2 linked regions of the Arabidopsis thaliana genome follow. The protein of the gene in region 1 interacts with the protein of each later gene in a pairwise test. Each region holds a gene or a part of one and is shown on either strand. Other genes may lie near its edges. The genes, in order: LAP6 and ACOS5.

Region 1 (15,868 bases):
TTAAAACCTTTCGTAAAGATCTTTATTAAACTTAACATCCACGTATATATAAATATAGGTCTGGGTTCCTTTAGGTTTCGTCGTTAAATACCATTAATAATGCGAGTACAATCGGAAGTCATCGTGATTCGTGTAAAATCGTATAAATCAAGATACATATCCGCAAACCCTAATTGTCAACAAATGTTAGGGAGGCGTACGCGTGTACATTCACAAAATCAACAAGTACGTGATTTACAATTTGATACGGGAATTAATATGTGGACCAAAGGAATATTATATATATATATTTTTTGTATATAAATACGAACGGTGGGGAAAAACATATACTAGAATGAAAAGAAGAAGTGGGGGTAATAGCTAGCTAGTACTAGAAGCACTTAGTACATGTAATAATAATAAGGGTCGGTCTAAATTAGTATGGTGTATCGACTACGAATCGTACCAATCCTGTCTAAATATCCCGTATGTATAAGAATATATTCGTGTGTACTTATGGAAACAATATTCGTTAAATAATGATACAAACACTGTTTATGAATACAGACAAATAGCCAGCTCCTTGTCCAGTAATTAAATGACACAGCCGTTTTTTTTTTTTTTTTTGATCTTGAAAAATGGAATCCATAACGGGCATCAAAAAGAGTTATATAATCCCATTAGGCCATTCACATACATATGTGATATGCCAACAGAAAAATATATTTCGTAGTAAGTTAGTAGGGAAGAAACAATGGGATTTAAATCATAGTGGGCTCGAAAATTAACTTGTTTGGGTTCCTCAACACTGATACTGGCCCATATAATCACAGCAAGTTTAGAAGAACTTTTTTTGCATCAACGTAACTTATATTGTCCCATAAAATTAAATACACCTTATGTAATATTATCTTTTGAAAAGTTTATTCCACCAACTCAGCATAATATAGTAATCAATTTTTAAAATGTAAGAAAGTAGTATATCATCCATCACCATTATATTGTTATATACTATGGTTATTTGATGTATAGTTTTATAATGAAACTACGGATTTAATGCTCGCAAATACTAGGTGTAACAACTTAAAAGCTTGCACATTTATTTTGTAACAATCTTTTTTTAGGCGTTCCTTTAAAAATGCATGTAAATGTTATCGAACATCCACAAAAATTAGACTGAATAAAATTCATATATTTTACTGAAGTCAAGTCCTCGAGGGACACATCAAACTATTGATTTGATCATCTTTTCTACATAACACTATGCTTTGCATTTGTTAGAACATTTTTTACTTGTATATATAGGCTATTGCTAAACTTTTTATTTTGTGTCGTGATTCTTATAATAAGATTGAGATATACACATGAGATGAAATGAGAAAGTGATAATATATAGTCGTACACGTGGTGACGTAATGATTGAAGCAGTTGTATAATGCTAAGACTTTGGATACTCTCTTCCCAAAGTCCTTGGATGATAAATAAAATGATACAAGTCTCCTCCACATTTGTCTGTAATCATTGACTTTTCAGCACCACAACGCTTTTTCTTTCTTGTCTGTTCATTTTATTTATTTAGTGGATATATAGAAATAAAAATGAGTTGGTTCAATTCAATTAACAAAAATAAATAGGGCGGGACATGAATAAATTACATGAATGTGGACAGTCCGATCCCTGTCACGGCAAAGAGTTAGATAACTTAGGTTGTATAATAAAACATAGGACTTTATGTAACAGCGACATATGCATACACATATAATTGACATAAATCTACTAATACGTAAACTACATAGGAGATGCGAGTGGGGCGGTCCATAATCAGAGAGCCCTAGTCTTCGGAATATCATTCATCAATTTGATCCGTGGCCTAATTAGTGAAAAGGAAGGGATAATAAATAGATAGTATACGAGTGTGTGTAGTGTTATAAATGGTTGGGCCATGCATTTGGGCCTTTATTTTGATGCATCCCCACCACACCGTACCGGGAGGTTAGTGCCAGAAAATGATCACGTGTGGGTGCAGCGCTCTGATGAAAATTAGCTCGCAGACCCAACCACTTTGCCAAAAAATCCAACCCAAATATGACACGTGTGCAAAACGATGGACCCACCCAGCTGGAATCAGGGGAACCAATGGCAAAGTCCTCGTTGAGTTCTTACGGCATAACAATAGCAAGGGGAGGAATGAATATACATATGCAACAAACAATACTCAGATCGGCTCTTTTTATTTCATCATAGCAATTGTTTTATCATGAATTTTGGCAAGTAACAAAAATCAAGTAACGCGGAGCATATATACTACTACTTGGTACTAGCTTGGAAAATCGCTTAATTTTGTCAACGTCTCCTATATCATCCATCCGTTGTGGGGTAGACAAGCATTTACTAATATCACAACCGATCAAAGTGCAAATTATTAATCTCGGTGGGGATACTGATTTAATTTGACAAAAAAATTGTATGATTTTTAGCTTCAAAATGGGGGACAACAACAACCTAATACTACTGTATTTCTTTATATTATTTTGTTTTTAAAAGACGGTAAAACCACGTGGACGTACATTGATCGGTCACTTTCTAAAATATTGGTTTCTTGTAGTTTTATAGGAAAATTCCAGCAGCTCAGCATCAGACAGCAGACAGAGAGAGAGAGAGAGAGTCAATAATTCAGTTCCCCGAAATGAATAAACGATGAACGAACCACCATGCACGAGTACTCTCCCCGGTCTTTGCTTTTACCAGCAATAATATATCAATCACACTTTCAATTTCTTTCTTTTTTTCTTTTGAAGACATCTTTTGAAAATTGTTATTTTTGTAAGGAGATATTGATAATAGAATCAGAAATCTGATATGTTGTTGGTTAATTAAATAAACCTCTACTAAGTCAAAAACAATATGAAAACGACAAACGAAACGAGAGACATGAAATAAAACGTTACACATTACCGACTAATTCAGATGATAGACAGCTAGCATTAACTAGTGATATTGAAGAGTCCTTTGATTTCTCATTTTAAGCATAATATATCATATGAGTAAAGCTTATAACTATCCGCTGGAGAAAAACATTGAATTTGAAGACGAAGACGCTGACGTGGATGAAGACGCTGTCGTTTGGAACTGCCTTTGCCGGAAGCACTCCAGTGATATCGTAGGCGGCGCGTTGGACGACGGTGACGATGACGCTTTAACACCCGAATCGTTCGGTGACTCTGGTCATCATCATCATCACATATTCCCATTTATTAATTAAATGCACACATATATCTAGAGATTATCTTAATTTGAAAGAGGATATATATATATATATATATATGATAAGAGAATTAAGTACGTACTTGGAGTAGTCTTGCCGGTGCCGGTGTCTTGGGTGGCGGAGGCTGATTGGTGACATTTACGGCGGCGGCGGTTATGGTCAGCAAGTCGCTTACGGCAGCTCCGTTTCCCGTTGTCGAATTCCGACAGCAAATGGAACCTGTATTGATTATTTCGATATATATATGTATAAATCAGATGATGATGATGAGATGGAGAATTAGTGATAAGAGTTTGGTTGGTTAGTTAGGGCTAAAATGATTTGGTTGGAAAGGACGAGAGAAAGCCATATCGGGATCCCCCACACCACACAGTACGAACCCTCTCAATGATTGTGTCGATCCTTTAGCAGTGATTGTAAATTAATTAATAAACAAAAAGGGAAGCTAACTAACTAATGAAAAAAAAGGAGATCCAAAGAAGATCTAAAAACTAAGATAGAACAAGATTAAGGATGTACGGACGAAGAGAAGAGAAGATAGCCGAAACCCCACAGCTATAGTATTTTTTTATTTATTTAAAAAAGGTCAAAGGTGGCAACTTTAGGGGGCACAAACCTGCTGCATTGCTGGCAAAACCTTTGGCTTAGTCCGGCGGCTACAACCGTCGATGCTTTTGAGTGGAATTCGCACACTTTGTGCCTTCTGTGGTAGTGTTTCGCGTGGCTCAGATCCGCGTTGCATCCCTCTGCTTGGCACCGCGGCGTGCTCAGCGAGTTCGCCATCCCTGACTCACCTGGTCGAGACCTCCTGTATAGCCTGCTCACGAAGTCGTCGTCCGCCGCTGAGAAGTACGTACGGCCTCCCAGGTTCAGCCCGATCCTGTTGGACGTGAAATCCACTTCTGTCTTGGGGATGAGGAAGTTGTAGGAAGATCCGGATCCCGAGCCCGGTCCTGTCTGGTCGTAGGAGAACAAGGAGGCTGGCGGAGCGGAAGAGTGGGGATGGTAGATGGGATCGGAGGCGCCGTAAGGAGTGGTGGTGGTGGTGGACCCGTACAAGGAGTGGTGGTGATGGTGATGATGAAGAAACTGGTTGTTGCTGTTGGTCTGACCGTAGAGGGTGAGGTGATGCTGTTGTTGTTGGTTAGAGAAGGAAGAGAGGAGGGGAGGAGAAATGGTGATGTGACGGTGGTCGTTGTTGTAATGGGAGATGGGGTCGAAAAAGGAGAAGGATGACCGGGTCGGGTCAGAGTCCGGGTTTCTTTCATCTCCGGAGAGAACGATGGAGGAAGGATTATCCCATTCGTAGTCCAACATGTTGCAATCCCGAGGAAGATCTCTCTCTCTTTCTTTCTTTTGTTTATAAAATCAAGACGGAGTAGTGAAAAAGAGAGAGAGAGGCTAATAAAGGAAAGGGGGAGGAGACATGTCGGTGCGGAATAGGTTATGGAATGGTTTTAATGGACTGAAAGCAAAGCGACGTACTACACCTCTATTAGAATCACACACAGAGACACACTCTCTTTCTTTTTTTCCAATAAACCCTAACTTTCTATTTGTGGGGGTGGATTTCCTTCTCTCTCTATTGCTCTCTCTCCCACCATCTCTCTTAAAGGTCCCTTTTTAAAATTCATTTTTTTTTTGATCTTCTTCTTCGTAAAAAAAAAAGAGAGATAGCTGTCTGTCTTGTCATCTAGCTACTTAAAAAAGTGAAGATGGAGAAGAAAGAAAACTCACATGGGTCGTGAAAGCAGTGTGTGTGTGAGTGTCTGTGCCCTTTTTTACTAAAAACAATTTAAATTATTATTTACCAATCATCTGCCCCTTTTTACTACTAGTATTTTTCAAAGCTTTCTAATTTGTAATCTTAGTAGTACCTACGTAGGATTAATTTGAATATCGAAAAAACGTAACTCACTACTTAGCAACTGTTGATGGAGCCTCTAATTGAACTTTTGTTTGACAAACAAATTAAACACACAAGTATGTATAGACAGACTCTTACTATGTTATTTTTTAACAGCGTATTGTATATATGGATGATACATATATAGCCCCCGCAGGACTTTAAAAAAAAAGAAAGAAAAGGGTCTAGCTAGTATTGGTGGTGATCGTGTGGTTAAGGAAAAAGAAGAGTAAAAAACGCGTTTGTTCTACACTTATTTAATTATGTCGGGACCCGCTTCTGTTCCCCTGCTGGGCCTCTCTCTTACATTTGTTTTCTTTTTTACTAGCGATAAATAAGATATGAGAATGAGATAAATCATCGTAGTCAGTTACAAGTTTATACGTGGTTTTTTTTAAGAATAGAGAGAAATAAAATATCTATTTCAATTAACCACAAAAAAAAAAGGAGGAAAAGGCCAAAAAAGAGAGAGAGATAAGAGGCAAAAACGGTGTTGGGGTTTCGAAAGACAGGATGGCAAAAGTGTAAATAGGTAGCAAGTTGGAGGTTGATCGTTTTAGGGAAGACAGAATGACCGATCGTATCTTGCTAACGTACACCCACTCACCCCCAAACAACAAATTACTATTATTCGCCAACTCTCTCTCTCTCTTCTTTCTCTACCTCACGCGCTGCTATCTCTACTTAATCGAACGGTCCCGATTAATCGGATGGTGATCACGTGGCAGCACAGGGAAGAGAGTAGGGTTAGCTGAGCATAGACGAGAGAGTGAGGTTTTGTAATTGGTAATGGCGTGGGTCCCCTATTTTTAGGTGCTCAAAGGCTGCCATCGACGTTGACCCCCGAAACCGTACGGACTCCTGTCTCTATTATCCTTGCCCCTCTCTCTCTCTCTTTTTTTTTTTTCTAAAACAAATTATAAACCCGAAAACCAAATTTTCTATTTTCATATTTGGTTCTGGGATATATATTTATATGCATAATCCTGTCTTCTACTTTTTTGTTTTTGTTTTAATACAGTGTACAATATTGAAAATAGGAATGCTGCTCCTACTACAACTTATTCTGATGTACATATAGTACGCTGTTAGGAGGCTTTTTTAATTCACTCAAAGTAGTCAATTGATAGTGTACTTATGTATCTACTAAGGCAGTTATCACAATTAAAGTAAACTAACTCCTAATTATAATGAAAAGCTCTCAATCGCTCTAACGATAAGCTATCTTTCTAACTATACCAAAATAAATTAAGAAGTCCCTACATAGTGTGTATACTGTAACATCCATAATTTATTCAACCGATTCCGTTGGTATCCGAGGAATTAACAGTGTATTTTATTAAGAGTAAAAAAGACTGTGCATATATATAAAAATAGAGAAAAAGGCAAAATAAAAGGAGGAGGATAATGTTACACCAAACTTGTTGCCTTGTCAACATCTCTCTCTTAATTTGAGAGATACCCACTTATTGCACTTTCTCACTCATTACCCCCACCTCCTTTCTTCCCTAATTACTGCGCAAGTATTATGCATATGCGATTGTTTTAAACTAGTCCGCAAATTGATTCCCAATGAAAGGGAAACGGAATGTAGTAGATCATCCATACACCACGTCTTGTGTTGGTGCAGTTACAAGTTTACTTCAGGGTTTAACATTATTTTAAAATCTGTATGCAATCAAACAATCTATCTTCAAAAACTTACTGATATGCTATGGATGATGATTAATAGCTAGGACTTAATTATATGCTGTTGCTTCTTCTCCTTTTTTTTTTAAAGTTTAAAACAAAACAAAATATTGTGTCGGGGCCACCTCTATAATTGGGCCTAAAGTAAAGTTATCTAGAACAAAGAGGAGCCCATTTAGATTGGGCCTTAGAGAGTTATAGAATGAAGAAGAAAGGGTTTGTTCTCTTGGTCCGCCGGAAGGGGTGGAGGAGCGGCGGACGTGTGCCGCCATATTTCGCGGCAACTTTCTTCTGCAATGGTATCTTCTGTACCTAAACTCCATGCTTTGTTTGTCTCCAAGTCTCAACCAGTTCTCCGAGCCGCCAAAGTTACCAATGAAGAAAGGTCCACCAAATCAAAACTCGCCAGGTCCTTGGCCCGTGCCGTGAACTCTAACCCGTGGTCGGACGAACTCGAGTCTTCACTATCATCTCTTCATCCGTCCCAAACCATCTCCAGAACCACCGTTCTCCAAACCCTGCGTCTCATCAAGGTCCCTGCGGATGGTCTCCGGTTCTTTGACTGGGTTTCCAACAAGGGGTTTTCTCACAAAGAGCAGTCTTTCTTCCTCATGTTAGAGTTCCTCGGTCGAGCTCGCAATCTCAATGTGGCTCGCAATTTCTTGTTCTCCATCGAGAGAAGGTCTAATGGCTGCGTCAAGCTCCAGGATCGCTACTTCAACAGCTTGATTAGGAGCTACGGGAACGCTGGGCTCTTCCAGGAGTCAGTGAAGCTGTTCCAGACCATGAAGCAGATGGGCATCTCCCCTTCCGTTCTTACCTTCAACAGTCTTCTCTCCATTTTGCTCAAGCGTGGCAGAACTGGAATGGCCCATGACTTGTTCGACGAAATGCGTCGTACCTACGGGGTTACCCCAGACTCCTATACTTTCAATACATTGATAAATGGGTTTTGTAAGAACTCCATGGTCGATGAAGCCTTTAGGATTTTTAAGGATATGGAGCTGTATCATTGCAATCCTGACGTTGTTACATATAACACGATCATCGATGGGTTATGCAGAGCCGGCAAGGTCAAGATTGCACATAATGTTTTGAGTGGAATGTTGAAGAAAGCAACCGATGTGCATCCCAACGTTGTTAGTTACACTACTCTGGTGCGAGGCTATTGTATGAAGCAGGAAATTGATGAAGCAGTGCTTGTGTTTCATGACATGCTGAGTAGAGGGCTGAAACCCAATGCTGTTACTTACAATACTCTGATCAAGGGGCTCTCTGAGGCTCACAGATATGATGAGATCAAAGATATCTTGATTGGAGGGAACGACGCATTTACCACTTTCGCTCCAGATGCCTGCACTTTTAATATTTTGATCAAAGCCCACTGCGATGCTGGTCATTTGGATGCAGCGATGAAGGTGTTCCAAGAAATGCTGAATATGAAGTTGCATCCTGATTCAGCTTCTTATAGTGTTTTGATTCGTACTCTGTGCATGAGAAACGAATTTGATAGAGCTGAGACATTGTTCAATGAGTTATTTGAGAAGGAAGTATTGTTAGGTAAGGATGAATGCAAGCCTCTCGCTGCAGCTTATAACCCAATGTTTGAATACTTATGTGCCAATGGGAAAACAAAACAAGCGGAGAAAGTTTTCAGGCAGCTGATGAAAAGAGGAGTGCAAGATCCGCCCTCTTACAAGACTTTGATAACGGGTCACTGCAGAGAAGGTAAATTCAAGCCTGCTTATGAGCTGTTGGTTCTAATGCTCAGGCGGGAATTTGTACCTGATCTTGAAACTTACGAGTTATTGATTGATGGACTGTTGAAGATAGGTGAAGCTCTTCTTGCTCACGATACCCTACAAAGGATGCTAAGGAGCTCTTATCTTCCTGTTGCAACCACTTTCCATTCTGTACTTGCAGAACTTGCGAAAAGGAAATTTGCTAACGAGTCTTTCTGCTTGGTAACGCTAATGTTGGAAAAACGAATAAGACAGAACATTGATCTTTCAACGCAGGTTGTCAGATTGCTTTTTAGTAGTGCACAGAAAGAGAAGGCATTTCTGATTGTTAGGTTGCTTTATGATAACGGGTATTTGGTTAAGATGGAGGAATTACTTGGTTACCTCTGCGAGAATAGAAAACTACTTGATGCACATACACTTGTTCTGTTTTGTCTGGAAAAAAGTCAAATGGTAGATATCGACACATGCAACACGGTCATAGAAGGACTCTGTAAGCATAAGAGACACTCTGAAGCGTTTAGTTTGTACAATGAATTAGTAGAACTAGGAAACCACCAACAGCTTAGCTGCCACGTGGTTTTGAGGAATGCCTTAGAGGCTGCTGGAAAGTGGGAAGAACTTCAGTTTGTGTCAAAGAGGATGGCTACATTGAGAGAATCAGATGATTGCTCTGTATTAGAATGAAGGATAGACCGTGCATCTGGTTTCTGGTAAACAGGATCCTCTCTCTTTGTTCCGTTTTCAATTCTGTGTCTAAAATTATCCATTGGCAATTGTAAAATTTTTGGCCCTCAGCAATTAAGCAAGTTTGTATTCATCGTGTCTGTTACAGGTCTCTATGGACGTTGCAACTCTCTGTTCCTAACTTTCACCTTCATGGTACCTATTTCCTAAGTAGATTAGGCTTATATTACTTATCCCGGGAAAATAGGTTTCATGGTGTTTTTTGCATTTCTAACCAACACAGGCCAAAGAATCACCAAACCCTAATAAAATAACCGTTTCTCTCTTTACATGATCTTCACTCTTCAGCACCAAACTCTCCCCAAGAAAACCCTCAACCCTTCCTTTATAATCCTTTGCCATTTGCTGATATTCTGCATCCACCATCTTTCTTCCCAATATCTAATTGAGTTTTTTCCTTCTGCGCTTGAAAAGAAATGTCGAATTCTAGGATGAATGGTGTTGAGAAGCTAAGCAGCAAATCCACAAGGCGTGTCGCAAATGCCGGAAAGGCAACACTGCTTGCTCTTGGCAAAGCCTTCCCAAGCCAAGTCGTTCCTCAGGAGAATCTAGTGGAAGGATTTCTACGAGACACCAAATGTGATGACGCGTTTATCAAAGAAAAGCTGGAACACTTGTGTAAGCCTCAGTCTCTTTATATTTTTTTCAGACAGCTATGCTCTCTTGTGAAATGCTGAAAGCTTTCTAATGTTTTGTGCTGTTGTTTAGGCAAAACGACAACCGTGAAGACGCGATACACTGTGTTGACGCGAGAGATACTGGCTAAATACCCTGAGCTAACAACAGAGGGTTCACCAACAATCAAGCAAAGACTTGAAATTGCAAACGAGGCGGTTGTGGAAATGGCATTGGAAGCCAGTTTAGGTTGCATCAAGGAATGGGGAAGGCCAGTGGAAGACATCACTCACATTGTCTACGTTTCCTCAAGCGAGATCCGTTTACCCGGTGGTGACCTTTACCTCTCAGCAAAGCTAGGCCTGAGGAATGACGTGAACAGAGTGATGCTGTATTTTCTGGGATGCTACGGAGGTGTGACTGGCCTCCGTGTGGCCAAAGACATTGCTGAGAACAACCCCGGAAGCCGTGTTCTGCTCACAACCTCTGAAACCACCATTCTCGGATTTCGGCCACCAAACAAAGCGCGTCCGTACGACCTAGTTGGAGCTGCTCTGTTTGGAGATGGTGCAGCTGCTGTGATCATCGGAGCTGACCCGAGAGAGTGTGAAGCTCCTTTCATGGAGCTGCACTATGCGGTTCAGCAGTTCTTGCCGGGGACACAGAACGTGATCGAGGGGAGGTTGACTGAGGAAGGCATAAACTTCAAGCTTGGACGAGACCTCCCGCAGAAGATAGAGGAGAACATAGAAGAGTTCTGCAAGAAGCTGATGGGAAAGGCTGGCGATGAGTCGATGGAGTTCAATGACATGTTCTGGGCTGTTCATCCAGGAGGACCTGCGATTCTGAACCGTCTGGAGACAAAACTGAAGCTGGAGAAAGAGAAGCTGGAGAGCAGCAGAAGGGCGTTGGTGGATTACGGGAACGTGAGCAGCAACACGATACTGTATGTGATGGAGTATATGAGAGATGAGCTGAAGAAGAAAGGTGACGCAGCACAAGAGTGGGGACTTGGCTTAGCTTTCGGACCTGGAATCACCTTCGAAGGCCTTCTCATCCGCAGCCTCACCTCTTCCTAATTGTTATAATTTACATTTGGGTTATAAACATATTGTAAGCATGAAATGAGAGTATTATTTGTTAAACAACATCTATATAGAATAGATGCATGTGACTAGGAATGTTGGAAAAAGTCAAAAGTTGCACCACGTGTCGTTAAAGCAAGTGCTTAGCTACTTGGAACCACATGAACAAGAAGACACCAAACCCGTTACTTCCACTAAAAACAAGGGCTTTCTTCTTTTTAATTCACACCAAAACACTTTGAACACACACATGCATGGAGCCATGAACTCACCATGCATTGATTTCGTAATGTTCAGTCGTGGACAACACGATGAGGACAACATGTCACGTCGTCCTCCGTGGAAGAGGGAGAGATCGATGTCCACTCAGCATCATCATCTTAACTTGTCTCCAAACGAAGACGAAGAGCTTGCCAACTGTCTTGTCTTGTTGTCCAATTCAGGGGATGCGCATGGTGGTGATCAGCATAAACAACATGGACATGGTAAGGGCAAAACCGTCAAAAAGCAAAAAACCGCCCAGGTTTTCCAATGCAAAGCTTGCAAGAAGGTGTTCACGTCGCATCAGGCATTGGGTGGACACAGGGCAAGCCACAAGAAAGTGAAGGGTTGTTTTGCCTCTCAAGATAAAGAAGAGGAAGAGGAAGAGGAATACAAAGAAGACGACGACGACAACGACGAGGACGAAGATGAGGAGGAGGATGAGGAAGACAAATCAACGGCTCATATCGCAAGAAAGAGATCCAACGCTCACGAATGCACCATCTGCCATCGCGTCTTCTCTTCGGGACAGGCCTTAGGAGGCCACAAGCGATGCCATTGGCTAACACCTTCCAATTATCTTCGTATGACGTCGCTCCACGATCATCATCATTCCGTCGGCAGACCGCAGCCGTTAGATCAACCATCTCTCGATCTCAACTTAGCTTGCCAAGAATATTCCGTCGATCCAACGGCCATGAGCGTAGGGATGATCGAGAGAGATGGTGGTGGCAATAATCACAACGCTACTTCATCTTCGTGGTTAAAACTCGCAAGTGGTGATTGGTCTTGACGACTGACTAATTTAATTAAGTTGCTAATTATATTCTTTTAACTTTCATTCGTTTATATTCTTTACATATATACAATTAAGTGCATGAGTTTATATATAGAGTTTATGGATTTATATGAATTACACTTGGCGTCTTCTGCAGATTTAGAGAGCCATAAGGAGTTCTAGTCCAATATATACAAAGATATAAGTAAGAAATTAAGTTTCACAACTAGTTAATATACAAGATAGATAATTGTATCATTTTTTATTATTATATACGTTGAGAATAAAGTAAGATAACCAAGGGCTCCTTGCTCATATAAGCGCAAATGTTTTAATTTCATGTTTGTAATCTTACAGAGTGATATAATTTACTTGTTAAGCCATCAAGAAGGAGATATAATTTTGAAGTTTTCCAGAAAAGAAATTGTAAATTCGAAATTAAGAAATCACAAAGAAGAAAAATATCAAATAAATAAACGAATATCACGTATCAAATAACTCTCGTGATATGCCCATATATATTTTAATCATGTTAATAATCAAAAGGCTCTTACTACACTGAAAACACATGAACATGAGTCAACGCCTCAACGGAATTGATAATTTTGGTGGTTCTTAATTAAGCACCGATTGCAAGGAAAGGGTCATTTCTCTCAATACGATTACAAGAAAAGAGTCATTTTTATCTCGCATATATGTTATTAATGAGTGGTTGCCATTACAAGTTATGAACTTTTGACTTTAGGAAGCCCACCAACCATCAGCTGAAAACTAGGATTAGCGGGGGGAATTTGATTAATGTCAACTGATATCCTCCAATTTCTCTTTGAGAAAAGCTCAAGCAAAGTATATGACTCTTTGGGCCACTCAAAAGATCTTTAATCAATTAACTTGAGGACATGTACTTTAACAACAATTGACACATATAGACACGTACAAGAGTTGCACGCTATTGATACAAGGAAATTTTGGTCTAGTATGAGGTAATAACGTCTCAACGAGATAAGGTTAAAATTATTTAGACATGCTTGGGAAAATATTTTTGTTAGTAGAAATTTGTAGAGTAATGAAATTTAGATTCTTATATTGAAATTTCATCCAAATAAATGACAAGAGGTGAGTCAACACCAAAAGGGCGTGTGAGTATGAGAGTCAAAGATAGCACTAACTATACGATGCGGGAAGTCAGCAGTTTAGTCACACGTGTCAACCTATGATTTAAGGAGAGTTGGTGTATTTGTCACAGAATCATTAAAATTTGGTAAAGTTAGAAATAGAGGGGCCAGTGCTAGTGTTGTTTAGTCGTTACAACAAAACCTCAACGGTTTTTGTTTGCAACTTTACCAAAATGAATACCCTCATCCACAAACTCTTTTCTAATCAACAAAGTATTGAAATTTTCAGTTACATACTAGTATTTACTATTTACATACTAGTATTTTTGGGCTAGTAGAAGAGTGTATTTGAAAAATTAGAGGAGAAAAAAAGTCAGCGTGGAGGAATAAAGGTGTGAGATCGCATGTTACATGTTTGATCAACGGCTCTTCACTTCATCATTCAATACTCTTTTTTTTTTCTTTTTTTTTGGCTCAATCTGTCAATAAAATAAGAAAAACATAACTGATAATTATATATATTTAGAGGCTTATTTGTATTTATGTTTACACAACAGACAGGTCTTTTATTTAGCCGTTTCTGATATTAAAAAAGAAAGTAAACTGCTTTCGTTGATATTCTTAAGTATCCCATTAATTCTTTTCCTTAAAAAGAAAACATTAACTTGTTGTTGGGACTTCGTATATTAGCTTAAGTGTTGGTGGAAGAGTGCTTGTAACCTACTCCGACTTCTTCTTCTTCTTCTTCTTATATTCTCCCTCTCTCTCTCTCTCCTTTTTCTTCTATTTCTGCTCTGTTTTGGTAAATTGAGGAAATGGAAGAGAGGCATAAGTGCAAGTTATGTTGGAAGAGCTTCGCTAATGGAAGGGCTTTGGGAGGTCACATGAGGTCTCACATGCTCATTCACCCTCTCCCCAGTCAGCCCGAGTCATATTCGTCTTCCATGGCTGATCCAGGGTTTGTTCTTCAGGACAGAGAGAGTGAAACCGAGTCGTCCAAGAAGCCCTCCCGCAAACGATCCAGACTTAACCGGAGATCCATCTCATCATTACGTCATCAACAATCCAACGAAGAAGGGAAAAGTGAAACCGCAAGAGCAGCAGATATCAAGATCGGGGTTCAAGAACTCAGTGAGTCGTGTACGGAGCAGGAACCGATGAGTTCGGTGTCGGACGCTGCAACAACGGAAGAAGACGTGGCCTTGAGTCTCATGTTGCTGTCGAGAGACAAGTGGGAGAAGGAGGAAGAGGAAAGTGATGAAGAGAGATGGAAGAAGAAGAGGAATAAGTGGTTCGAGTGCGAGACTTGCGAGAAAGTGTTTAAGTCGTATCAGGCGTTAGGGGGACACAGAGCAAGCCACAAGAAGAAGATAGCAGAAACAGATCAATTAGGCTCAGATGAGTTGAAGAAGAAGAAGAAGAAGAGTACTAGTAGTCACCATGAATGTCCAATCTGTGCCAAAGTCTTCACATCTGGTCAAGCTCTCGGAGGTCACAAAAGATCTCACGCTTCCGCTAATAATGAATTCACGAGAAGATCAGGAATAATAATTAGCTTGATAGATCTAAATCTCCCAGCGCCATCGGAGGAGGAAGAGATGGCCTCGTCGGTTTTTTAATGCTTGATCAGATTGGTCAAACTATAGTAATTACCACCTTTGATTCCAAGTAATGTAGTAAAATTCTCCAAGTGTACGTATTGAGGACAAATTTTGATGTGGTCAAAGAACACAAGTGAGTTAGGTAATGAGGGAAATCATGTGATAGTAGTCGATTTGTGTGGGAAAATGGTAAAGCATGAAAGCGTGATCGAGTGACGTGGTTTGTTGTTGCTCAAGTCGTGTGTTTCGTTATGCCAATGAAATAAAAAAAGAATACCCAAAATTACTTATATACTCTTAAAGAGGGAATTTTGCCGACTAAGAGACAGAGAGACCACCGTAACTTTTGGACAACAAAAAAGCTCTAACGAGTCACGCCTTTAGATTGCACTTTCTTCTTCTTCTTTAAAAAAAGGAAAGAAAACAAAGGTGTAATTGCAGTGGAGTTGTTCCCCAAGTCACAGAGAGAAATCACAGGCAATTTTGGTTATCCCTTAACCGGTCCATCCATATCTGAACCGTCCCGGTACAAAGATCCGTTGGTTTCTGGTTTTGAGATGTCGAATCCCAGACAGAGGAAAGGAGAAGCAATGATGAATCCGACGATTTCGTGGAGGTTCGCGTCTTCGACCTCTCTTCTCTCCATTCCTCGAACACCAAAAAGTGCCTTTATCTTCGCCATGACCTTCTCTTCTTCTTCTTCTTCTTCTTCTTCTTCTTCTTCTGTGGAAAACCCTAACAAGGACGATTCCTCCTCTTCGCTTGAATTGGTCCTCAAGTACCACAACCAGACGAAGCACTCCTTGAACGGTTACGCGAGAGGTCCTCGTGGTCTCGACTGGGCCAATCAGCCTAATCCCTTCCGCCGGTACCTCTCTGCTCCTCTTCTTCCTCTCCAACACCCCAATCACGACATCGACGACGACTCCGACTCTCCTCTCTACTCTACTCTATTCGACTCGCTTCCTCCGCCCAAACCCATCTCTCTTCCTACAATCTCTCACCTTTTCTACCATTCTCTCGCTCTCTCCGCCTGGAAGACCACCGGATCCTCCACGTGGCCCCTCCGCGTCAACCCCAGCAGC
Region 2 (16,342 bases), about 23 Mb from region 1:
GAATAGGATTTCTGATGCCGTAGCTTTGGTTGATCAAATGGTCGAAATGGGATATAAACCCGATACGGTGACATTCACAACTCTAATTCATGGACTTTTTCTTCACAACAAAGCTTCAGAAGCAGTGGCTTTAATTGATCGAATGGTTCAAAGAGGCTGTCAACCAGATCTGGTTACTTATGGTGCGGTAGTTAATGGATTATGTAAGAGAGGTGATACTGATTTGGCTTTAAATCTGCTCAACAAGATGGAAGCTGCGAAAATAGAGGCCAATGTTGTGATCTACAGCACAGTCATAGATAGTCTCTGCAAATATAGACATGAGGATGATGCACTCAACTTGTTCACTGAAATGGAAAACAAAGGAGTTAGACCAAATGTTATCACCTACAGCTCCCTCATAAGTTGCCTTTGTAATTACGGAAGATGGAGTGATGCTTCTCGACTACTCAGTGATATGATTGAGAGGAAAATCAATCCAAATTTAGTCACTTTCAGCGCATTGATTGATGCATTTGTGAAGAAGGGGAAGCTTGTAAAGGCTGAGAAATTGTACGAGGAGATGATCAAAAGGTCCATAGATCCTAATATTTTCACTTATAGTTCACTGATCAATGGGTTTTGTATGCTCGATCGCCTTGGTGAGGCTAAGCAGATGCTTGAGTTGATGATTAGGAAGGATTGTCTACCAAACGTAGTCACTTATAATACGCTTATAAATGGATTTTGTAAGGCTAAGAGAGTAGACAAAGGTATGGAACTCTTCCGCGAGATGTCTCAAAGAGGATTGGTTGGCAACACAGTCACTTACACCACTCTTATCCATGGATTTTTTCAAGCTAGAGATTGTGATAATGCCCAAATGGTTTTCAAACAGATGGTTTCTGTTGGTGTGCATCCCAATATTTTGACATACAACATTCTGTTAGATGGACTTTGTAAAAATGGGAAGCTAGCGAAAGCAATGGTTGTATTCGAGTATCTGCAAAGGAGTACAATGGAACCTGATATTTACACATATAATATTATGATTGAAGGGATGTGCAAGGCAGGGAAGTGGAAGATGGGTGGGATCTATTTTGTAGCCTCAGCCTTAAAGGAGTGAAGCCTAATGTTGTAACCTACACAACAATGATCTCAGGATTTTGTAGGAAAGGTTTAAACAAAGAAGCAGATGCCTTGTTTAGAGATATGAAAGAAGATGGGACTCTTCCAGATAGCGGTTGCTATAAGATGCCATCTTAGAGAATGGTGACAAAGCAGCATCAGCTGAACTCATCAAAGAATTGAGGAGTTGCAGGTTTGCTGGAGATGCTTCAACCTTTGGCTTGGTCACTAATATGTTGTATGGGGAGATTGGACAAAAGCTTTTTGGAAATGCTTTCCTAAACTATCCTTGAAGTGAGTAAGCCTTTTTTAATAAGTTATTACTTCTCAATAGTCAATACAATCCTTATGTTCATGAGTATGCCTGATTAGCTTTCTGTGAACCAGCATTGAAGTTTTAGTGAACATTTTGAGTTGTGATTTGGTTTTTTATCTTCTGTATCCAATATTGTTCATATCTTATAAACGAGACATTCTCAATTATGTTAATCAAATTTGGAAACTTTTATCTTTGTTTCGTGCATTAGGAAACTTGCAAATTGTTAATTTCTCCTATAGAAGAAAATGGTTCTGATGCGAATCATGTATGTACCAGAAGCTGTCTTTGAACAGGTGGAGCTGCATCGCACTCCATTTCACATGGGAACTCTTGTTTTGCAGGCTCAATGACGGTTTCAGAAGATGATATCCAAACTAATGTGAGTATATGAGAGAGTGTAGCAGCTGTAATCTCATCAAATGAAAGATATTTCAGTGTTCAAGTATTACTTCTCAATGCAGTCAGTATGTTCCCATGGTGTAGTTCATTGCACATTGGAACAGTTCGTTCTTTTTTGTGTTGAACTTGAATTACTATCGTTGTTTTTTGTAGTTCCTAGTGGAATTATGAACATGTGTGTGGCTGGACAAACATACACGTAGTACCAGGTTTAGTACTTGAATTATGAACTTGCAGAGATGGTTCAATGGCATAGTTCCCATCGTCAATTTCATTGATTGAATTTCCCTTGCCAGAAATTTCTGTTTTATCATAAATTTTGAGAAGTAGTTTTGGTTTTACGGGGTTTCTTCATTTCTGAAATTAGGGATTTTATTTCAGGGTAAGAAATCCCAAGAAGAAATGAAGAAGAAAGTTAGTACGCATGCATATGGAGCCTGCTCTTCCTTTGAAGATGGACCTTGATAGACCGATTCTTCCTCGGTATGGAATGTTAGATCAGTATCATTATGAAATAATTCCTTTGAATTCCGATGCTTACTCTGCCATTAGATATGAGAATGTATGAAAATCTTCCTTAGGTTCTATAGCATAATGTGAAGATTGAAATATGGTTTGATCAGTTGCTGTTTCTGACTTTTGAAATTTGGTCAGTTAGAAATTTACATGAAACTTCATAATGGTTACATTTGTAGACTACATAGGGTTTTAGATATTCACATAGGGCATTCTCATCTTCAGTTTGGTGAATCAAGCAATTACTATATACCTATTTATCTGGAGTATTCAGGTTTCAGAGACCAACTGGCCCAATTCCCTCGTTGATGCTTGACCTTGAAGTCTACACAGGAGCTATAGATGATTTTGATTTTGAGGATTACTTGAATGGTAATTGTTTTACAGCTCTTTCTCATACTTTTTAGACTGTTTTACACCAAAAAAAAAAGAAACCCTATATATTTGTCTGCTTCTACAATGGTCATTGCTCAAATAGTGACTATCATATACTACTTGCAGTGTGTAAACCAAGCATCCTTGTCTTGCAGAAAGTTGAACTCTTTGAGTATATAAGAGAAAAACTGTTTAGACTTGTTTCTTTTCTTAGTTTCACCATTTTATGGGTTGTTCTGATAAGTAGTATCTACTCCGCAGATCCTCGAGAATCCAAGATGCTCAAACCAGTTGACTTCCACCACCACGTCATGGAAGTTGGGGTTAGTCTCTCCAAAGGCCCAGCTTAACCAAGTTCCTTGTAGGTCAAAACAGTTTATACTTTATAATGCCATCAAAGTATTGAAACTGGACTCTACTTGTATGTTTGTGCAGCCTAACGCTGGGGAAATGATCCTTGCAGCGCCGTCATCAAGTTCAGGGACCAAAACTCTTGTCGAAAGCTTCAACAATAAGTCTGGTGACTAATATATAAATAGCTGATTTGGATAGTGTGAGATCAACATGGTGTTGCTAGACAAGTGTGCAGAATGAGATAATTTTATATTAGAACAGCCATGTATTTTCTTGTGATGTTTCATGTTCTTAACTTCTCTTATTTACACGGTTCCTTTTTGAGCTGCTACTGACCATGAGAGGTGTTATGTGTTTAACGCAATAACTTTTTGTTAGTGCCTTGAAATATATGTTTTCTCATGTAAGTTGTCCTTGTAACTAAGCTTTTCATAATTGATGACATCAGTACTGATCTTTTTACTTTTATTTTTGTTAATGATATATTATAACCTCGAGAATTTTCTCATATGTAGACGAAATCTTGGAAAAACTTCTGGTACGTATTATTTTCTTAACTCTTGGCATCTTATTTTTGAAATCAGGTGTTTAGGTCAATAGCGGAAACAGAGCCTAGTGATGTGAAGTTAGGGCTGGACTTGGTGAGCTCTATGAAGGAAGAGCTTGAGTTATGTCCTTCAACATGCTTGTGCCAATGCCAAATATAAGCAGAACGCTAGCTCTACCTGTATGGAAAGAGTACAAATTTGAAGAACTTCCTTACAATGTCCTCACAAGTATTTAATGCAAGAGCTCTTTTATCTCCTACATTTAAAAGAATGATTTTGAACTTTTCTTAGTCATCGTATCTAAAAGAGTGGCTTTTTCTTAGTAGAGAGTTCTTTTTTTTTTTTTGATAAATCCTATCGACTAATCCGGTCAGCCTCGGTAGAAACGCACCGAAGTACTTCAGAGTAGACTTCTCCCCGAAAGACCACACTGTCTGTCTCGAGTTTGGAATTCTTAGTAGAGAGTTTAATAGGGCACATCTTAGAGATGGTGACAAGGAAAAGTTTACTCTTAAAAATGTTCATAAAAGCAAGGTTTATTAAAACTGAAAATTGCAAGTGTTGTTCTTCCGTCTAATGGTTTATTTATCTGATTCTCGTATTGACAATATGGAGATAATGTTTCTGTTTATGGAAAAGCAAGGTGAAGAGGCATCTTTACCTACGCTCATAAACCTGAACAAAAGAGACATTAACTGAACAATATTAAACCAAATCGTACCAGAGAAGAGAAGTCAGAGTGAACCGGTCGGTTATTAAAACTGGAATATTTAAGAAGAAATCTTGACCGTCAAAATTACCAAAATGATCCAACGGCGCAGAAACGCGAGATCCCTCCGTCTTCAAGGTTAAACAATAATGACAAGTTGTGTTCATTTAGGGATTGTCGCATCACAATCGAAGAAGATGAGTTTGGCGAAGAGATTTGCTCAGCTGAGGAAAGCTTCTCCATTGTTTTCCCTTCGAGGTGTCTATTTCTCTGCTGCGAGTTATGACTACAGAGAGAAATTGAGTAGAAATGTGTTGCTCGATTTGAAGCTAGATGATGCGGTTGATCTGTTCGGTGAGATGGTACAGTCTCGTCCTTTACCTTCCATTGTTGAATTCAATAAACTGTTGAGTGCCATTGCTAAGATGAACAAGTTTGATCTTGTCATCTCTCTCGGCGAGCGGATGCAAAATCTGAGGATTTCATATGACCTCTATTCGTACAATATTTTGATTAACTGTTTTTGTCGACGCTCTCAACTCCCTCTTGCTTTAGCTGTTCTTGGCAAGATGATGAAACTCGGCTATGAGCCCGATATTGTCACGCTTTCTTCGCTCCTCAATGGGTACTGCCACGGTAAGAGGATATCCGAGGCTGTAGCTTTGGTTGATCAAATGTTCGTAATGGAGTATCAACCCAATACCGTCACATTTAACACTCTAATCCATGGGCTTTTTCTTCACAACAAAGCTTCCGAAGCAGTGGCTTTAATTGATCGAATGGTTGCCAGAGGGTGTCAACCAGATCTATTTACTTATGGTACCGTAGTAAACGGATTATGTAAGAGAGGTGATATTGATTTGGCTTTGAGTTTGTTAAAGAAGATGGAGAAAGGGAAAATAGAGGCTGATGTTGTGATCTACACCACTATCATTGATGCTCTTTGCAACTACAAAAACGTGAATGATGCACTCAATCTGTTCACTGAAATGGATAACAAAGGAATTAGACCAAATGTTGTTACCTACAACTCCCTCATAAGATGCCTTTGTAATTACGGAAGATGGAGTGATGCTTCTCGACTACTCAGTGATATGATTGAGAGGAAAATCAATCCAAATGTAGTCACTTTCAGCGCATTGATTGATGCATTTGTGAAGGAAGGGAAGCTTGTAGAGGCTGAGAAATTGTACGACGAGATGATCAAAAGGTCTATAGATCCTGATATTTTCACTTATAGTTCACTGATCAATGGGTTTTGTATGCACGATCGTTTAGACGAGGCCAAGCACATGTTTGAGTTGATGATTAGCAAGGACTGTTTCCCAAACGTAGTGACTTACAATACTCTTATAAAGGGATTTTGTAAGGCTAAGAGAGTAGAAGAAGGTATGGAACTCTTCCGCGAGATGTCTCAAAGAGGATTGGTTGGCAACACAGTCACTTACAACACTCTTATCCAAGGGTTATTTCAAGCTGGAGATTGTGATATGGCTCAAAAAATATTCAAAAAGATGGTATCTGATGGCGTGCCTCCCGATATCATAACATACAGCATTCTGTTAGATGGACTCTGTAAATATGGGAAGCTGGAGAAAGCATTGGTGGTATTCGAGTATCTGCAAAAGAGTAAAATGGAACCTGATATTTACACATATAATATTATGATTGAAGGGATGTGCAAGGCAGGGAAGGTGGAAGATGGGTGGGATCTATTTTGTAGCCTCAGCCTTAAAGGAGTGAAGCCTAATGTAATAATTTACACTACAATGATATCAGGATTTTGTAGGAAAGGTTTAAAGGAAGAAGCAGATGCCTTGTTTAGAGAAATGAAAGAAGATGGGACTCTTCCAAATAGTGGTACCTATAATACGCTGATTAGGGCACGCCTTAGAGATGGTGACAAAGCAGCATCAGCTGAACTCATCAAAGAAATGAGGAGTTGCGGGTTTGTTGGAGATGCTTCAACAATAAGTATGGTGATTAATATGTTGCATGATGGGAGATTGGAAAAAAGCTATCTGGAAATGCTGTCTTGAAACAATCAATCCTCGAGAAACGAATTGGGGAGCAACCATCTTCCCTTGTGATTGCATATGTGAGGTGAATCGCCTTTTTTAGATAGCTATTCTTGTGTTTACTTCTGGACCCGTTTTCATGTTAAATTTGTTCTTGTTGTTGTTGAGTGTAAGTTTCGTGGACATGACTGGTACAGTTCTCTGCAGTCAGTATGTTCTCATGTTGATATAGATTTGTTTCTTGTCTAATCGATGATTTATCACCTGAATAGTATTCTTCCAGATTGGTTAAGTTCATACGTTCAAAGAAATTTAAAGACCACGCTCCTTATTCGACTGATTGATCGATGAAATAGCAGATCCATCAGTCATAAACGGCGCTGAAGAAACACATTAACACACCAAATTTATGTACCACACGACAACAATTTCTTCATATGTACAGACTACAGAGAGAAAAACAGAGTTTTGAAAAGATCAGACAAACAATTTGTCGGTTCGTCTCTCTTCTCTCCATCCATTGTAAACGTTTGCAATGTAATCTTCAATCCTGCTCGTCAATGTGTCATCATCAACATCATCACCATAGGCATGATTATCATCATCATCACGGTTTTCAATACCATCATCACCACCATCTTGATTACATTGGCTAAAATCTTCATCATCGTTCCATATACAACCATCATTATCAACTTCATCAAAACCATCATAATAGCTAAAACAATCATCATAGTAATATCTTGTGAAATCACAACATTCTCTGTTCTTGTCTATGATTTCACCATCAAGCATATTGTCTTCTTGAAAAGTGTACAAAACATAGAAATCTCCGGTTTCTTCATAAACAGAGCGATTACGATCGATGATAAGTAAGAAAAGAATCGTACAGAGGAAAAAGAAAAGAAGAAGAGGATTGTTGAAATATCTCAAGAAGAAAAAGAGCATTAGTGTTGAAACAATTGTTCTCCAGATGATCTCCATGACATTGATTATAATGTTCAACATCTTCATCTGGACTCTATCTATATCAATAAAAGAGTAACTTTCCGGGAAAAAACCATGAATTCTGCTGAGATAATGAGTGGAAAAAGTCTGTTGTGTGAAGTTATTGTAAAACTTAACATATATAAAATAAAGGTTTTAATATTCTAAGGATGTGTTGTACACATGTCTGTTTCTTGCTGCGCAAGTTCTAAGAATTTGTGTATGTGTACCTTTAGTATTAATATATATGTTCTTGAGAGAGAAGTTTACGATTCTTGAAGTGGGACACAATGAGTTTTTAAGTTATGATTGTAACAAGTATGTCATTTATCTCATTTTAAAAGTATGTTTTTCTAATATTTAAATCTATATATGTAGATGAGAATATAAAAAATATGGTGTAGTTTAATTTAAGGTTTTTGTGATCCTTACTCTAAGATCATCAAAGTATGAACATGCCAATAACAATAATAATTCGTATTGAAGAACTTTGCACAACCTATTTATAGGACCTAAACCCTTAAATCCCCACCATTGTATAAAATCTTCCAAATCAAGAATAAAGTAAGATTCAAAATTCTAATCATACCACATTTTCTACGTACATTTCATCTAGATCAAACCTTTTCTACCATGCATCTCCAAAGGAATTGAATCCTTAAGCCAACTCACGTGAAATCGAATAATCCATTCTCGCTTCTAAGTTGAGAAAATCCAATATTTCACGTTCTAGAATCATGACGTACGCGTGACATTTAGAAATGAGACCTTAACCTTTTAAAAGTCATTGATAAAACATTACAATATAGTTTCTTTTATAAGTAGTACAAGAAAACTTTGTATTTATAATCTCGGTAATATGATCGTAGTAGAGAATGTTTAAGAAAGAATACATTAATTTGTATGAACAAAATACTTTTGAAGATGTTTTTTTATTGGACTCCATAAATAATAAATTCAGATATTTTCACATCATTTCCATGACTCAACAAAACTCTACCTACAATATGTCTAAGAGAGTCAAAGACTATCATCCTCTTCTATAACCAAAAATTGGTTTGCACACACATGACATGACATGAACAAGAAACTACTCTCCTATTTATATTCACTCTAGAGCCGGCCCTGTTCCTAACACATAAATCAAATTCAATTCGTTTAAAAATGGAGAGTCAAAAGCAAGAAGATAATGAATACATTTTCCGCAGTTTGTATCCATCTGTGCCCATTCCTGACAAACTTACACTGGTAATTAATATAGCTAAGAACAGTTTTTCATTTCCGGTTTCGGTTTATTATAATTTAGGTTAAGATTCGGTTTATAAATACTAATGGAATTAACTAATGGCTATGTGAAAAAAGCCTGAATTTGTGCTCCAAGGAGTTGAAGAATACACAGAGAATGTAGCGTTTGTAGAAGCGGTGACCGGAAAAGCTGTGACGTACGGTGATGTAGTGAGGGACACAAAGAGGCTAGCCAAAGCGTTGACATCTCTCGGACTAAGGAAAGGTCAAGTGATGGTTGTGGTCCTACCAAACGTCGCCGAGTATGGGATTATTGCCCTTGGTATTATGTCTGCCGGTGGAGTCTTCTCCGGTGCAAATCCGACGGCTCTTGTTTCCGAGATCAAGAAGCAAGTTGAAGCTTCCGGTGCTAGAGGAATCATCACTGATGCTACTAACTATGAAAAGGTAATTAAACATTACTGTTTTCTATATGATTTGGAAAACTTTTTAACCAGCAAATGTATGCACATGATAATTTCGTTCGGTTTGGTTGCTGCAATATATGGTATAGACTAAAAACCAAACCGACATAATTCCACAGCCAAGCTGAACTAAACCAACCAATCACCAAACTCGATTTATTTGTGAAACATTTACTGTTTGTTTTGGACAGGTGAAATCACTAGGTTTACCGGTGATAGTGTTAGGTGAAGAGAAGATAGAAGGAGCAGTAAACTGGAAAGATCTTCTAGAAGCAGGAGACAAATGCGGAGATACCGACAATGAAGAGATTCTTCAGACAGATCTTTGTGCACTTCCTTTTTCTTCAGGAACAACAGGATTACAAAAAGGAGTAATGCTCACACATCGCAATCTCATAGCCAATCTTTGCTCTACTCTCTTCGGTGTCAGGTCTGAAATGATCGGTCAGATCGTGACGCTTGGTTTGATCCCATTCTTTCATATTTACGGTATCGTTGGCATATGTTGTGCTACAATGAAGAATAAAGGCAAAGTTGTTGCTATGAGTCGGTACGATCTAAGGATTTTCTTGAATGCTTTGATTGCTCATGAGGTTTCGTTTGCGCCTATAGTTCCGCCGATTATATTGAATCTTGTTAAGAATCCGATAGTTGATGAGTTTGATCTTTCGAAGCTTAAACTTCAGTCTGTCATGACTGCTGCTGCTCCTTTAGCTCCTGAGCTTCTTACTGCCTTCGAAGCCAAGTTTCCTAATGTCCAAGTCCAAGAGGTAAGACTTAAGACTTTTATGTTAGTTATTACCTTATTATTCATGTTCAATGATGTTTTGATTGGTTATATATATATATATATATTAGGCTTATGGATTAACGGAGCATAGTTGCATTACGTTAACTCACGGAGATCCAGAGAAAGGACAAGGAATCGCGAAACGAAACTCGGTTGGTTTCATACTTCCGAATCTCGAGGTAAAGTTCATAGATCCTGACACCGGTAGATCACTCCCGAAGAACACTTCTGGTGAGCTATGTGTGAGGAGCCAATGTGTAATGCAAGGTTACTTCATGAACAAGGAAGAGACTGACAAGACAATTGATGAACAAGGTTGGCTTCACACAGGAGACATAGGTTACATCGATGATGATGGAGACATCTTCATCGTTGATCGTATCAAAGAACTTATTAAATACAAAGGTTTTCAGGTAAAATGTTTATACCAAAGATTAAACATAATTCTTCCTTGTTTCATATTGGCCGGATTTTCAAAGTTGAAGCTTTTCCAATAGGTTGCTCCGGCCGAGCTTGAAGCTATTCTACTCACTCATCCATCCGTTGAAGACGTTGCCGTCGTGCCGTGAGTATCTATATAAATATATTGCCCTAATGATTTCTTGAAACTGATATATTAAAACATGAAATGAAAAGGTTACCGGACGAGGAAGCCGGGGAGATTCCGGCGGCTTGCGTGGTGATAAATCCGAAAGCGACAGAAAAGGAAGAAGACATTCTCAACTTTGTTGCAGCAAATGTGGCTCATTACAAGAAGGTTAGAGCCGTCCATTTTGTGGATTCAATCCCTAAATCTCTCTCTGGTAAAATCATGAGGAGGCTTCTTAGAGACAAGATCCTCAGCATCAACAAGAAGTAGAAGAAAGAAAACTCTTACAAGCTTTTAATTAATCTACTTTGATTTAAGAATGTCCTTGAACAATAAATACTCTTTGTGGTTTTTATTATTGCTCCTTGATTAGGAAATTCTACAGTTCAATTCTGCACCGCGCAACAACTAAAAAGATTAAACTATCTCCTCGAAAGATTTTAATCAAAACATTGATATAACTCACGGAACAACAATTTTAAACCGCAAAAACACGCTGCTTTCTCATGCTGTAAAAAGTTATACTGTAGAATTAGATATTGAACTGACTTACTTTCATTAATTCGCAAACTATGAGTATTTATTCACAATGAACTCAACAAGATATAAACACAAACTCCTAAAATATAGGACATAAACTCTATCACCAAAGATATCGTACTAATCTAATTCTCAATTTTTAATCTTCATAGTTCCTTATTATATAACCAAGATAATAGTTGTCTAGTTGAAACTTGAAATAGCTCAAGGATGGAGAATTTATCGTCTTTCACTTTACTTTTCTTTTATTCAACTTTCTCACTTTCTCCAATGTATAACTACTTCAGTACTTCAATACTCACTAGACCAGGGAAAATGTATGAAATTTCAATTGTATATTTGTATGCATGCTTTAGATATTTATTTTTTTCCAAGATTCAGATTATATCGAAGTAACATTTTTTGTAATTGTGGGCATTGGTCAAACACCTAGTACTTCTGTTTTATGTCAGACTTGAAGAATCTAGAGAATCTTAGGAACAGTAGTCAGACTTTGATGTTTCGAAATATACAAATATAAACAGTACCGTACTTAATCAACGGTCATATTATAAATTCATACAAATAAAAGACAACGGGGTATTAAATACTGAAGATTAGAGAACATTTTAAGTCTTTTATGGATTTATGATTCAGTGATTCAAAGACTCACAGTGCAATATTGATGTATCTAGGAATTTACACTAAGAAATCGACAGTGATTATAAATAGTACTCAGTTGCTTGGACAAAACTAAAGATTTATAAAGAAAAATCCGACAAAAGGCATAATTGGGAATTGAACTCTTTTTTGACAAGAAACTTTGGAATGAAGTTTTGTTGTTGTTCAAGCATAGTTTTTTTTTTTAATATGAGTAATTTTGAATTTACTGCACTGTTCTAGGTTTCCGACCTAAAGGGATTATTTGATAAATCTTTAAACATTTACTAGTATTACATACTCCTTCCGTGTCAGGTATCACTTTAATTAAGTGATGTTCACTATATTTAAGTTTGTCTTTTGGTGTATGTTTTTATATTAGTTGAGTTCATTTTGGGATGTTCAAATAATTAGTTCCGCCAATTTCTAGCAAAACAAAGAACAGAAAAAGCTTTTCCTTATAGATTTTAAACTTTTGTATGGAAGAAGTCTACAAAACCGGAAAATAAAGGGTGAGAAATTTAATTTATCCATTAATTTTTGTGGGATTACGAATTCGAAAACCATTTTTGTGGGAATACGAAAACCACTTTGAAGGTTTAAAGTAACAATTTTTTTATTTTGATGGTTTATTGTGAGAGTTCAAAATCTTGAAAGTTTTTAAAGTGTAAGTTGTTGCTACTTTGAAGGTTTTTTATAAGATTTTTCGGTAAAATAATCTTATTCTCATTAAATAATAAATAATACAATTAAGGTTTTATATACAATTGATAAAGGTCTAAACCAGAAGCCACTAAACGGAAAATCTAAGACTGGTTTATACAATACCAATTTGTATAGACTCTCTATGAACTATTGTATATACAACATTTCTATGCAATCAAAAGCTATATACAATAATATTGATATCACTTAATCAAATTCACAATGTTAGACTTGTTTTGCGAAATATCATTAATTTGAAAACTAATTCTATAATTAGATAATATTTTTAGAATTTTTGATTAAAAAAATCTACATTTCGTATCATTCATAAATAACTTAAAAACTGTAGAATCACAAACATGATCAAATTATACATAAAAATTTATTTTATCTTATTTATAGTTTCTGAAATACATTGATGGAAGGGTTTGATTGGTGTAGGCAACAAAGAATAAATGCTTGATGGTACAAGACAAACAGACACCTTCTTCTCCCACTCTTAAATTACACACACTTACTTACACACACATAAGCTTGCACGTGGTTCTTGTTCACATGGTGGAAGCCACAGATGTATATAGAGAGACAGAGAGAGAGAGGAAACAAAACCAAACCTTTTGCTGCAGAAGAGACAGACTATTAAATTGCTTCACCTGCTTTACTTACTTTCCAGCCAAGGCACACTCTCCACGCACTCATCTTTTCTCAAATCTCTCTCTATATAGATTTGTGTCCAGAAATTAATGGGTTTGGTTCGGAAACTTATGACTGGTAATACCCAGATCTTATTCTATGTTTCTTGAAACTCTCTTCTCGAGGCAAATGCAGCTACTTCTTCATGCTTTTGTTCTTCTTCTTCTTCGTTTATCAAGAAATTGTTAACGAAATAGCTTAACCGGGTTTGAGTTCGGTTTAGGATCCGATAACCGCAAATGCAGATTGGGAAATTGATTTGGGTAATAATGTTCATATTCGTTCACATTATTATTACATCATCTCGAAGTTTCTCGGATTCTATTATTACCGAACGAGAGATTCTACTTCAATTCAAAGACAACATCAACGATGATCCGTACAACAGTTTAGCTTCTTGGGTCTCTAATGCTGACCTCTGTAACAGCTTCAATGGTGTATCTTGTAACCAAGAAGGATTCGTCGAAAAGATCGTTCTTTGGAACACTAGTCTCGCCGGAACCCTAACGCCGGCATTGTCTGGTTTAACTTCTTTAAGGGTTTTGACTCTGTTTGGCAACAGGATTACAGGTAATTTACCTTTGGATTACTTAAAGTTACAGACTTTATGGAAGATCAATGTTAGTTCCAATGCATTGTCTGGTTTGGTTCCTGAATTTATCGGTGATTTGCCTAATTTAAGGTTCTTGGATTTGTCGAAAAATGCGTTCTTTGGAGAGATTCCAAATTCTCTGTTTAAATTCTGTTACAAGACAAAGTTTGTTTCATTGTCTCATAACAATCTCTCAGGATCAATCCCTGAATCAATCGTAAACTGTAACAATCTCATTGGTTTCGATTTCTCTTACAATGGCATTACCGGTTTGTTGCCTCGGATCTGCGATATTCCGGTTCTTGAGTTTGTATCTGTTAGAAGAAATTTGTTGTCTGGTGATGTGTTTGAGGAGATATCGAAGTGTAAGAGATTGAGTCATGTCGATATAGGAAGCAATTCTTTCGATGGAGTAGCGTCTTTCGAGGTTATTGGATTCAAGAACCTGACTTATTTTAATGTGTCTGGAAACCGGTTTAGAGGGGAGATTGGTGAGATTGTTGATTGTAGTGAAAGTTTGGAGTTTTTGGATGCTTCTTCGAATGAGTTAACTGGTAATGTACCTAGCGGTATAACCGGATGCAAAAGTCTTAAGCTTTTGGACTTGGAATCGAATAGGCTCAATGGGAGTGTACCTGTAGGTATGGGGAAGATGGAGAAGCTCTCTGTGATCAGGTTAGGCGATAACTTTATAGATGGGAAGCTACCACTTGAGCTCGGAAATCTTGAGTATCTACAGGTTTTGAATTTGCATAATCTCAATCTCGTTGGTGAAATACCAGAGGATTTATCAAACTGCAGACTACTTCTTGAACTGTGAGTCTTTGTATCTCTTCTATGCTGATATTTAGTGAGTTTTTGATTCGTTTATCTAACTTTTTAGTTTTGTTAATCTTTGTTGTTTGTTGTAGAGATGTTTCTGGAAATGGTTTGGAAGGAGAGATCCCTAAGAATCTATTGAACTTAACAAACTTAGAGATTCTTGATCTGCATCGGAACCGAATCAGTGGAAACATTCCGCCTAATCTCGGGAGCCTCTCGAGAATCCAGTTCCTCGATCTTTCAGAGAATTTGCTTTCTGGTCCTATCCCGTCTTCCCTCGAGAATTTGAAAAGACTGACTCATTTCAATGTTTCTTACAACAACCTCTCCGGCATTATCCCAAAGATTCAAGCTTCGGGAGCTTCTTCGTTTTCCAACAACCCTTTCCTCTGCGGTGATCCTCTTGAAACACCGTGCAATGCTCTCAGAACCGGATCAAGATCAAGAAAAACCAAAGCTCTAAGCACCTCTGTTATCATTGTTATCATCGCTGCTGCTGCGATCTTGGTTGGTATCTGTCTAGTGCTTGTCTTGAACCTTAGAGCTCGTAAAAGACGGAAAAAGCGTGAAGAAGAAATAGTCACTTTTGATACCACAACACCCACTCAGGCTTCAACGGAATCTGGTAATGGTGGTGTAACATTTGGGAAACTTGTTCTATTCAGCAAGAGTTTGCCTTCAAAATATGAAGATTGGGAGGCAGGTACGAAAGCATTGCTCGACAAGGATAACATTATCGGTATTGGATCAATTGGAGCGGTTTATAGAGCATCTTTCGAAGGCGGGGTTTCCATCGCAGTGAAAAAGCTCGAGACTCTAGGTAGAATCAGAAACCAAGAAGAGTTTGAGCAAGAAATAGGAAGGCTTGGAAGTTTAAGTCACCCGAATCTTGCTTCTTTTCAAGGTTACTACTTTTCCTCCACAATGCAGTTAATTCTTTCTGAATTTGTCACAAACGGAAGCTTGTACGATAATCTACACCCGAGAGTCTCCCATAGAACTAGCAGTAGCAGCAGCAGCCATGGAAACACCGAGTTAAATTGGCATAGAAGATTTCAAATAGCAGTAGGAACCGCAAAGGCGCTTTCTTTTCTTCACAACGATTGTAAACCCGCGATTCTTCATCTCAATGTAAAGTCTACCAACATACTCCTTGATGAAAGATACGAGGCAAAGCTATCAGATTACGGTTTGGAAAAGTTTCTTCCGGTTTTGAACAGCTCCGGTTTGACTAAGTTCCACAATGCGGTTGGATACATAGCTCCAGAGCTAGCTCAGAGTTTGAGAGTGAGTGACAAATGTGATGTTTATAGCTATGGTGTGGTTCTTCTTGAGCTTGTTACAGGTAGAAAACCAGTGGAGTCGCCGTCTGAAAACGAGGTTGTGATCTTAAGGGATCATGTGAGGAATTTGTTGGAGACAGGTTCGGCTTCTGATTGTTTTGACAGAAGATTGAGAGGGTTTGAAGAGAATGAGCTGATTCAAGTGATGAAATTAGGTTTGATTTGCACAACAGAGAATCCATTAAAGAGACCGAGCATTGCAGAGGTTGTGCAGGTTCTTGAACTGATCAGAAATGGAATGGAATCATGAAAAGAACTCGTTTATTTTTGCAGAGAAATTGTGTAGTGTTTACTGTTAAGTTCATTCATTTGTGATTCTTTTGTCTGTTTTGTTGCTAAAATTGGTAAAAGTTCCATTAACCGGGTCTTCTCTAACCTTAAACCGATTCTGGATTGATATTATCCGGTTTACTGATATAAAGAGTCTGATTCAGAATAAACCAAATAATCAAATTGTAATCAATTTTGAGATTTACATGTTTCACAAACTTTTCTAATGCGGTTCATAACTACTGGCACATCTCTCTCAGACAAATTACTGAAACAGATACGGAACCATCCTGGTTCGATACAGTGACAACAAGATCC

Evidence for each region.
Region 2: the proteins of LAP6 (region 1) and ACOS5 interact in binary tests that used the Arabidopsis thaliana proteins (3 or more experiments, as listed by UniProt).

Annotation. Positions count from the first base shown.
Region 1 is NC_003070.9:354,318-370,185, reverse strand, and holds LAP6 (Chalcone and stilbene synthase family protein), read left to right. Parts: upstream 1-9,439; 5' UTR 9,440-9,744; coding exon 9,745-9,946; intron 9,947-10,036; coding exon 10,037-11,022; 3' UTR 11,023-11,069; downstream 11,070-15,868. Other genes in the region: AT1G02067 (uncharacterized protein), read left to right, coding at 3,020-3,241; SPL8 (squamosa promoter binding protein-like 8), read right to left, coding at 3,037-3,200, 3,327-3,463, 3,861-4,561; AT1G02060 (Tetratricopeptide repeat (TPR)-like superfamily protein), read left to right, coding at 7,136-9,268; AT1G02040 (C2H2-type zinc finger family protein), read left to right, coding at 11,108-12,082; AT1G02030 (C2H2-like zinc finger protein), read left to right, coding at 13,998-14,801; AT1G02020 (nitroreductase family protein), read left to right, coding at 15,341-15,868. UniProt on the Arabidopsis thaliana protein: Plant type III polyketide synthases (PKSs) that catalyzes the condensation of malonyl-CoA units with various CoA ester starter molecules to generate a diverse array of natural products including long-chain alkyl alpha-pyrones.
Region 2 is NC_003070.9:23,302,058-23,318,399, forward strand, and holds ACOS5 (acyl-CoA synthetase 5), read left to right. Parts: upstream 1-8,474; 5' UTR 8,475-8,496; coding exon 8,497-8,580; intron 8,581-8,694; coding exon 8,695-9,024; intron 9,025-9,232; coding exon 9,233-9,811; intron 9,812-9,899; coding exon 9,900-10,244; intron 10,245-10,328; coding exon 10,329-10,396; intron 10,397-10,467; coding exon 10,468-10,690; 3' UTR 10,691-10,738; downstream 10,739-16,342. Other genes in the region: AT1G62914 (pentatricopeptide (PPR) repeat-containing protein), read left to right, coding at 1-1,105; AT1G62915 (uncharacterized protein), read right to left, coding at 1,184-1,390, 1,700-1,830, 1,876-1,921; AT1G62920 (proteasome maturation factor), read left to right, coding at 2,256-2,387, 2,623-2,713, 2,964-3,236, 3,671-3,737, 3,993-4,152, 4,258-4,317; RPF3 (Tetratricopeptide repeat (TPR)-like superfamily protein), read left to right, coding at 4,477-6,366; AT1G62935 (uncharacterized protein), read right to left, coding at 6,823-7,353; AT1G62950 (leucine-rich repeat transmembrane protein kinase family protein), read left to right, coding at 13,237-14,405, 14,501-16,004; ACS10 (ACC synthase 10), read right to left, coding at 16,214-16,342. UniProt on the Arabidopsis thaliana protein: Carboxylate--CoA ligase that may use 4-coumarate as substrate.